2 linked regions of the Rattus norvegicus genome follow. The protein of the gene in region 1 purifies or fractionates together with the protein of each later gene. This does not show direct contact. Links are inferred from orthologs where the notes say so. Each region holds a gene or a part of one and is shown on either strand. Other genes may lie near its edges.

What was found. The genes of interacting proteins can lie anywhere in the genome.
Region 2: the proteins of Mta1 (region 1) and Hic1 purify together in Homo sapiens (affinity purification with western blotting; 3 studies listed by BioGRID). This does not show direct contact. The link is inferred for Rattus norvegicus from reciprocal best matches to the Homo sapiens genes MTA1 and HIC1.

The regions. Positions count from the first base shown.
Region 1 is NC_086024.1:138,030,906-138,034,415, reverse strand, and holds part of Mta1 (metastasis-associated protein MTA1), read right to left. Parts: intron 3,310-3,510; coding exon 3,235-3,309; intron 2,915-3,234; coding exon 2,856-2,914; intron 2,590-2,855; coding exon 2,474-2,589; intron 2,176-2,473; coding exon 2,024-2,175; intron 1,919-2,023; coding exon 1,729-1,918; intron 1,597-1,728; coding exon 1,507-1,596; intron 1-1,506. UniProt on the Homo sapiens protein: Transcriptional coregulator which can act as both a transcriptional corepressor and coactivator. Acts as a component of the histone deacetylase NuRD complex which participates in the remodeling of chromatin.
Region 2 is NC_086028.1:60,514,643-60,518,767, reverse strand, and holds the start of Hic1 (hypermethylated in cancer 1 protein), read left to right. Parts: upstream 1-1,322; 5' UTR 1,323-1,464; intron 1,465-1,737; exon of another isoform or gene 1,738-1,844; intron 1,845-2,314; exon of another isoform or gene 2,315-2,535; coding exon of another isoform or gene 2,536-2,572; intron 2,573-2,920; coding exon of another isoform or gene 2,921-2,940; coding exon 2,941-4,125. UniProt on the Homo sapiens protein: Transcriptional repressor. Recognizes and binds to the consensus sequence '5-[CG]NG[CG]GGGCA[CA]CC-3'. May act as a tumor suppressor. Involved in development of head, face, limbs and ventral body wall.

The DNA.
Region 1 (3,510 bases):
GGCAGATCCTGGCACCCTCCTGGGTGAGGCTGCTTCTGGGGCTCAGGACCCAGGGAGCAAAGCCAGACACTGTGTCTGCAATGAACGCACTTAGCTTATGGTTCTGGAATGTCCTTTCTAGAGGAGCTGTCGACTCCATGGTGGAGGACCGACTCAAGTCCACTCAAACCCTGCACACAAGTGACCCCACGCATCTGGCTCAACCTCATGACGTGCCATTCCTAAATGGCCACTGCCCAGAGATTAATAGTCCCCAAACAAACACAAGCAAGGAGAAATCCCTGCACGGCTGCTAGCCAGAGAAGCACCTTGCCCATCAAGGCCTCACAGCAGCCTCCAATGCTGTGCTATGTTGGGGAGAGGCCTGTTTGCAGCAGCAGGTGTCCACCCTGCCCTAGGGACTTGTTGGTAGGTTATACCTAGTGTACACCCTAGTCAGAAATCAGTGGTAGCACATGCCTCTAGTCACAACACTTTGGAAGAAGAGGTGGGAGGATCTCCAGTTTGAGGCCAGCCTGATTTACATAGTTCCAGGATAGCTAGGGCCACGTGAGAGACCCTGTCTCAAACAAAAACTTTAGCCAGGACACAGGGCTGCTGGGCATGCCAGGAAAGTTAAAATCAGAGTGTCTGGAACTCAGGGCCTGGAGGAAGAAGGAAACAGCACAGCTCTCCGTGGGCATTCCTGAGCCTGGCACGGTGTATCCTGGTGATCACGGGCATTCCTGAGCCTGGCACAGTGTATCCTGGTGATCACGGGCATTCCTGAGCCTGGCACGGTGTATCCTAGTGATCACGGGCACTCCTAAGTCTGGCACAGTGTATCCTAGTGATCACGGGCATTCCTGAGCCTGGCACAGTGTATCCTAGTGATCACGGGCATTCCTGAGCCTGGCACGGTGTATCCTAGTGATCACGGGCATTCCTGAGCCTGGCACGGTGTATCCTGGTGATCACGGGCATTCCTGAGCCTGGCACAGTGTATCCTAGGTGATCATGGGCATTCCTGAGCCTGGCACAGTGTATCCTAGTGATCACGGGCATTCCTGAGCCTGGCACGGTGTATCCTGGTGATCACGGGCATTCCTGAGCCTGGCACAGTGTATCCTAGGTGATCACGGGCATTCCTGAGCCTGGCACAGTGTATCCTAGGTGATCACGGGCATTCCTGAGCCTGGCACAGTGTATCCTAGTGATCACGGGCATTCCTGAGCCTGGCACGGTGTATCCTAGTGATCACGGGCACTCCTGAGCCTGGCACGGTGTATCCTAGTGATCACGGGCACTCCTGAGCCTGGCACGGTGTATCCTAGTGATCACGGGCATTCCTGAGCCTGACATGGTGTATCCTAGTGATCACGGGCATTCCTGAGCCTGGCACAGTGTATCCTAGTGATCACAGGCACTCCTGAGCCTGGCACAGTGTATCCTAGTGATCACTTCATGTGTCCTAGATGGGGTGCTAGGATGAGAGTTAGAAACCTATGTCCCACCCATCCTGCTTACCAAGATACCGGAGCACAGCCTCCAGGGGCTTCCGTACTACCTGCTTCAGCACCAGTGGGCTCTGGGAAGCTTCGGGCAGCCGTGCTGTGCCTGCGTGAGGACAAGGGACTGACGATGAAGACCTATGTTCCCCAAGAGCCAGGCTACCTGTACCCCAAGCTGGATACCCTGCCTGAGTCTGGTTCCTGCTAGCCCCAAGAGAGAGAACAGGAGAAGACTCACATTCAGCCTTGATTGCTGCACTGTTGATGGGCATGTAGGGGTGGCGTGCGGCATGCCATGGGCGTAGGATCTCACGGCACAAGCGCCGGGCAATGCGTGTCAACTTGGTAGTATGCAGGTAGAAGGCCTGCCTTGTCTTCATGGCAAACTTGGGGCTCCCACTGCTCCGAGCTGGGATGCCATGGGGACTCTGTGGAATGGGGCACACCGCCCCAATATAGCACTGTGACTGGAAGCCAAGGACCTGAGGTTGACATGCAGCAGGTGACAGATAGGTATGGTGTGTCCCACTTACCATGTTATTGCGGTTTGGTCCCGGCCTCTCTCCATCTAACCGGGTTGGCATTTTCAAGCCACCATATTTCTTCCAATATGTCCAACAAGATGCGCAGAGGCGACACTGCATGTTAGGGGGACCCCAAGAATACCACTGGTAAGACTGTGTGGCTACGGACAACAAAGTTGGAAATAGACGGATTCTTAAGCAGAACCAACGGTGCAGAGCATCCCAGTGTCCCCACCGCCACCACAGCCATCCCACCCCTGGCTCAGGACCATAGTAGGTCCACCTTATACTCCTGAGGAACTCTTCCAAACTACCCCACCACCACTGCAGCCCCATTACGGTGAGTCATTCCGGGTTTGGGCACGGGGGCTTCAGGGGCCCCTTGAGCGCCACAGCCACGCAGTAGCATTCCCGTGGCCCTGCTGCCCAGGATGGGGGCCAGCCAGGTACAGCACTTACTGTAACAGCTCTCGCAGGCCCGACCGGCCCCGGGGCTCTGGCCTGGTGTCCCTGTGCCATTCACTACACTGGCCTTGACACTGTTGACGCTGATCTGGTTTGGGTTTGGCTTGTTACTGATGGAGGAGAAGGATCAGTCACAGGTGCCCTGGGGTGTCTGTATCCCCACAGATATCCCTGGTCCACTGTAGTCTGGCTGCCATATCCCAAAATATGCGGCACTAAACCCAGCTTGACTCCTGGGCCAAAAAAGTTTAAATCCTGCTCCCTCCTCCCCAGTGGAGCAAGCTCATGAAAGGGTCACTCAGGAGGCCGCCTGGCCTGTGTCCCACACCCACCTCCCACCCTCCACTGGCCCCAGGAATATAAAGGTAGGACTTACTAGTTGGGAATATAAACCTGCTTTAACTTGCTCTCTGCTTCAGCTGCTTTCAAACGTTTCTTTAAACAAAACAGAGGGTTAGGGAGGTCACCAAGCTGGCCAGGGAAGCTGGGAGAACACAGGGAGGGAGAGGCTATTGTTTCGCCATCACTGGCATCCTTGGGGAAAATTTTGCATGACCTTCCCTGGCCAGCCTGGGGCCAGAGAGTGGGGCTACCAGGCTGGCTAGGGGTCAGGAATGTCCCTTCCTCCCAGTCTGTGAGTCCTCTAGTGACCCTAGGTCCTTCCTCTTTTCTCTAGGGCTTAAGGGGAGGTCACTGGGAAAGAATGAACAAACATAATGTGGCTACATGGGGATCGGGAGAGTGGGATGGCACACCTGCTGGACGTATCTGTCGGTGGTCTTCCACATGTAGTAATACTCAATGATGCTGGTGAGCGACTTCCATGGGAGCTGCGGTGACAAGGCAGTCTGATGGGTGGCGGGAACAGGGCCAAGCTCAAGCAGGCAAGGGAGGAGCACGGCAGCGGCAGGGCGGGTATCACTTCAAGTCCCCCAGTGTTCAACACGGCAAGCCCACAGCGGGTGTGTGGCTGGCCTTCCCCTTACCCAGAAACCCCAAGCTAAAACAATTACCATTATGCCTGAAGGAGA
Region 2 (4,125 bases), on another chromosome or scaffold:
GATGAGATCCCCGGAACCTCATTGGTTACCATAGTAACTCTGCACCCCAGCCTCTCCGGCTTGGCCACGGAGGAAGGCACAGCCAATAAGAAGCTGTGGGCGGTTTGGGGGGACCCCCCCTGTGGTGTGGGCGGGGGTCAGGAGGTGCGGGGAAGAGGCGGAGCGTGGGCCACGGAGGCGCGGTGCCTGTAACGGTGCTTGTGCCTCCGCCCCGCTATGCAGGGACATTTCCGGTGAGCACCCAAGAGCTGGTGCACGGTCCCCTCCCTCCTAGAAGAGGCGTCGCCAACATGAATTGAGCCCTCCTTCATGTGGCGTATAGGATTTTTTTTTTTGAGGGGGGTCTCAAGCCGCCGGTTCTCGTGATATCTCTCGAATGGTGTATTGGAACAGTTTAGGATCCCTCAAAACTGTTTAGATGGGGGGTGGGGGAGTTGAGAGGCATGTCCCAAGGGGGCTTTGTCCAGCTACGTCCAGTGGAGGGTTCTAGGGTCCTTCTGGAGACCGGCAAGTTCGGGGAGGGCTCTTTGGTAGGTCCTCTTCCCTGTTTCACATACTAGCCTCTTCAGAAGCCCAAGACATTGGGACTCCGGGAGAGGGGCGGACTGCCTGTGTAAACATGCGCACCCTCGAGTGTCACTGCTGGGACAGTGTTTGAATGTGGACGGTTTATGATATGCATACTGATAACATGTGTCTGGGGGAGAGTTGGAATTTTTCTCCCCAGTGAGTTCAAGTGAATAATGGTGCTCAGAAATGCCTAATAAAAGCCACCCTCGTCCGGCTCCGAACTTATTTACCTTCAACTCACGTAAGATTTCTAAAATCGCCCTCTCACAACATACTGTCAGTAGTGTTCCAACCCGATCCCCCTTTTAAAGATAGGGCCTCATGTAGTAGAGGCTGACCTTGAACTCCTGGTCCTCTTGCTTCCAACTCCCGAGTGAATGCTAAGATGATTACAAGAGTGCGCCACCAGCCCTGGCTTGAGTTCCCCATTTGAAGACAGAACCTTTTCCGAATTGGTGCAATATTACTTTTAAATATGTACTCGGAAGCACTCAGCACAAAACCCCAAGGTTTACGGGACTCCCAGGTCCGATCGATATCTGGGTCTCCAGGTGGGCACATCTGGAAGCGCGCGAACCTTCAAGATCTCCAGCTCAGCTCCGCATCTGCAAGCCTCCAGCCCAGGTGTGCGCCAGAGGTCGCAGCCCAGCCGTACACAGCCCCGCGCGGCCGCGAGGTGGCGCCATGGCCGCAGCAGCGTCTGCCGGTTCGGGCCGCTCCAGATAAGAGTGTGCGAAAAGCGCGGAGGGGCTGAGACGCGATCAGGACGCGGGGAGGACGGACCGGCAAGACAGACCGACCGGGGGCCCGGCGGGCGGAGGGCAGCGCACTGCAGCCACGTCCCCCCCTGGATCCGCCGGCAGCCGGGCCCGGGGCTTCCGACATGCCCCCCAGGTGGGTCCTGGAGTTGGCGACAGGGAAGGGCCAGGGACCCGGGACAGTCCGGTCCTCGCGCGCCGGCCGCCTCAGGAGCATCCTCAGGCGTGGGCGCCCCAGTCGCGGCTGGCGCTTGGGGCTCTAAGTGTCTTCCCTAGAGGACTCGGGATGGCCCGACTGCTGCTCGGCGCCGGGTTCACGGCGGGGTCAGCGGCCCGGGGCCGGCTCTGCCCGCACATGGGCTGGGGAGGAGAGGGGAAGGCAAGGGGAGCCGGCGGGCGGGGCTGGCAGGGGCGCTGCCCTGGCACAGCTCGGCGCCTGGCAGCGGGGCGGGTGGGGCGCAGGCTAGGAGCTGCCACCGCCTCAGGGAGGGAAGCCGGGCTGGGCTGCCGCCGCAGGTAACGGGCCGGCGAGGCCCTGCGGGCCAGGCGGGGAACAGGGGCGGGCGTGCTCGCCGGAGGGCAGGGCGGCTTTAGGTTTGGTGTGGGTCCCCGCGGCCACCAGGCTGCTGAAATTGGGGGCCCAGAGGAGAAACTGGGGGCCGGGGAGAGGGGCTGGGGCCGGCGCGCTCCTCCCGCCCTTTCTGAAGTTGGGAAAGTTTTCCCCAAGTTTGGGGCGGCAGTGTTTCGGGGGAGACGGGGCGGAGGGGAGCTGGGGAAGAGATGTAGAGCCGAGGCCCGGGCTGGGTCCAGAACGCGGGTGGGGCGCAGGCCAGGGTCAGGGCCGCAGCCGGCTGTGCGCCGTGCCCGCCCGGGGCGCTGCCCCCTCCCTCCCCTGGGAGCTGCGTGGCTCCCCCCTCCCCCCCACCTGCTTCCTGCCTCAGCCTCCTGCCCCGATATAACGCCCTCCCCGCGCCGGGGCCCGGCCTTCGCGCTCTGCCCGCCACCGCAGCCACTGTCTCCGCTCCCCGTGCCGGGGCGGCGGGCCCAAACGAAGGCCTGACAGCCCCCGGCCAGGGCGGCGCCTGGATGGGCATCGTGCTCCTGTCTTCCTTATCACTTCCCCTAACCGGGGCAACTTCTCTCGAGGCGGGAGGCGCTTCTAAATCGGCTCCTTTTCTCCCCACTTGGGCAAACTTTTCGGCCCTGAATGACTTTTCCTGAAGCGGACATTTTACTTAAATCGGGTAATAGTCTCCGAAAGGGTCATTTCGCCCTAACAGATTTCTCCCTGGAAGTTCCCAGCACCCAGCTCCAGTGCCCAGGAGCATCTGGGTCTGGGACAAATAGGCTAACCTGGCCTCCTCTCCATCCACAGCCTTGATCTTCCTGCTCCTTCTGTCTAGGGCCAGCGGGCCTAGGCTGCCACTCCCGGAGGCCGCTGATCCTCCTCGGCTGCTGTTCAGGCCGAGGTGCTCCATGCCCCTGCTCAGCTGAGGGGAAGGGGAAGCGGAGGGGAACAGACTGGGTTGGGTTCAAGAGGCAGGGGCACTGTACTGCGTAGCTCTGACCCAGCTGGTGTGTGTCTCCCGCAGGAGAGTGTGCTGGGCAGACGATGCTGGACGCGATGGAGGCGCCTGGCCATTCGAGGCAGCTACTGCTGCAGCTCAACAACCAGCGCACCAAGGGCTTCTTGTGCGACGTGATCATCGTGGTGCAGAACGCCCTCTTCCGCGCTCACAAGAACGTGCTGGCAGCCAGCAGCGCCTACCTCAAGTCCCTGGTGGTGCATGACAACCTGCTAAACCTGGACCATGACATGGTGAGCCCGGCCGTGTTCCGCCTGGTGCTGGACTTCATCTACACCGGCCGCCTTACTGACAGTGTTGAGGCCGCAGCAGCGGCGGCGGTGGCCCCGGGCGCCGAGCCGAGCCTGGGCGCTGTGCTGGCTGCTGCCAGTTACCTGCAGATCCCTGACCTCGTGGCTCTGTGCAAGAAGCGCCTCAAACGGCATGGCAAGTACTGCCACCTGCGGGGAGGAGGCAGCGGCGGCGGCGGCTACGCGCCTTACGGGCGGCCCGGCAGGGGCTTGAGGGCTGCCACGCCCGTCATCCAGGCTTGCTACTCGTCCCCGGCCGGGCCGCCGCCGCCGCCTGCCGCCGAGCCGCCGTCGGGCCCCGAGGCAGCGGTCAACACCCACTGCGCCGAGCTCTATGCTTCGGGCCCGGGCCCAGCAGCCTCACTCTGCGCCCCGGAGCGTCGCTGCTCCCCGCTTTGCGGCCTGGATCTGTCCAAGAAGAGCCCGCCAGGTTCCTCGGTCCCCGAGCGACCGCTTAGTGAGCGCGAACTGCCTCCACGTCCGGACAGCCCTCCGGGTGCGGGGCCTGCAGTCTACAAGGAGCCACCGCTCACCCTGCCGCCGCTGCCGCCTTTGCCCTTCCAAAAGCTGGAGGAGGCCGTACCGACTCCAGACCCGTTTCGAGGAAGCGGTGGCAGTCCGGGACCCGAGCCCCCCGGCCGCCCCGACGGCTCCAGCCTCCTCTACCGCTGGATGAAGCACGAGCCAGGCCTGGGTAGTTATGGCGACGAACTGGTCCGGGATCGAGGCTCCCCGGGCGAGCGCCTCGAGGAGCGCGGTGGGGATCCTGCCGCCTCACCCGGGGGTCCCCCGCTCGGCCTGGTACCCCCGCCACGCTATCCCGGGAGCCTGGACGGGCCAGGCACAGGAGCCGACGGCGACGACTACAAGAGCAGCAGCGAGGAGACTGGTAGCAGCGAGGACCCCAGCCCACCCGGAGGC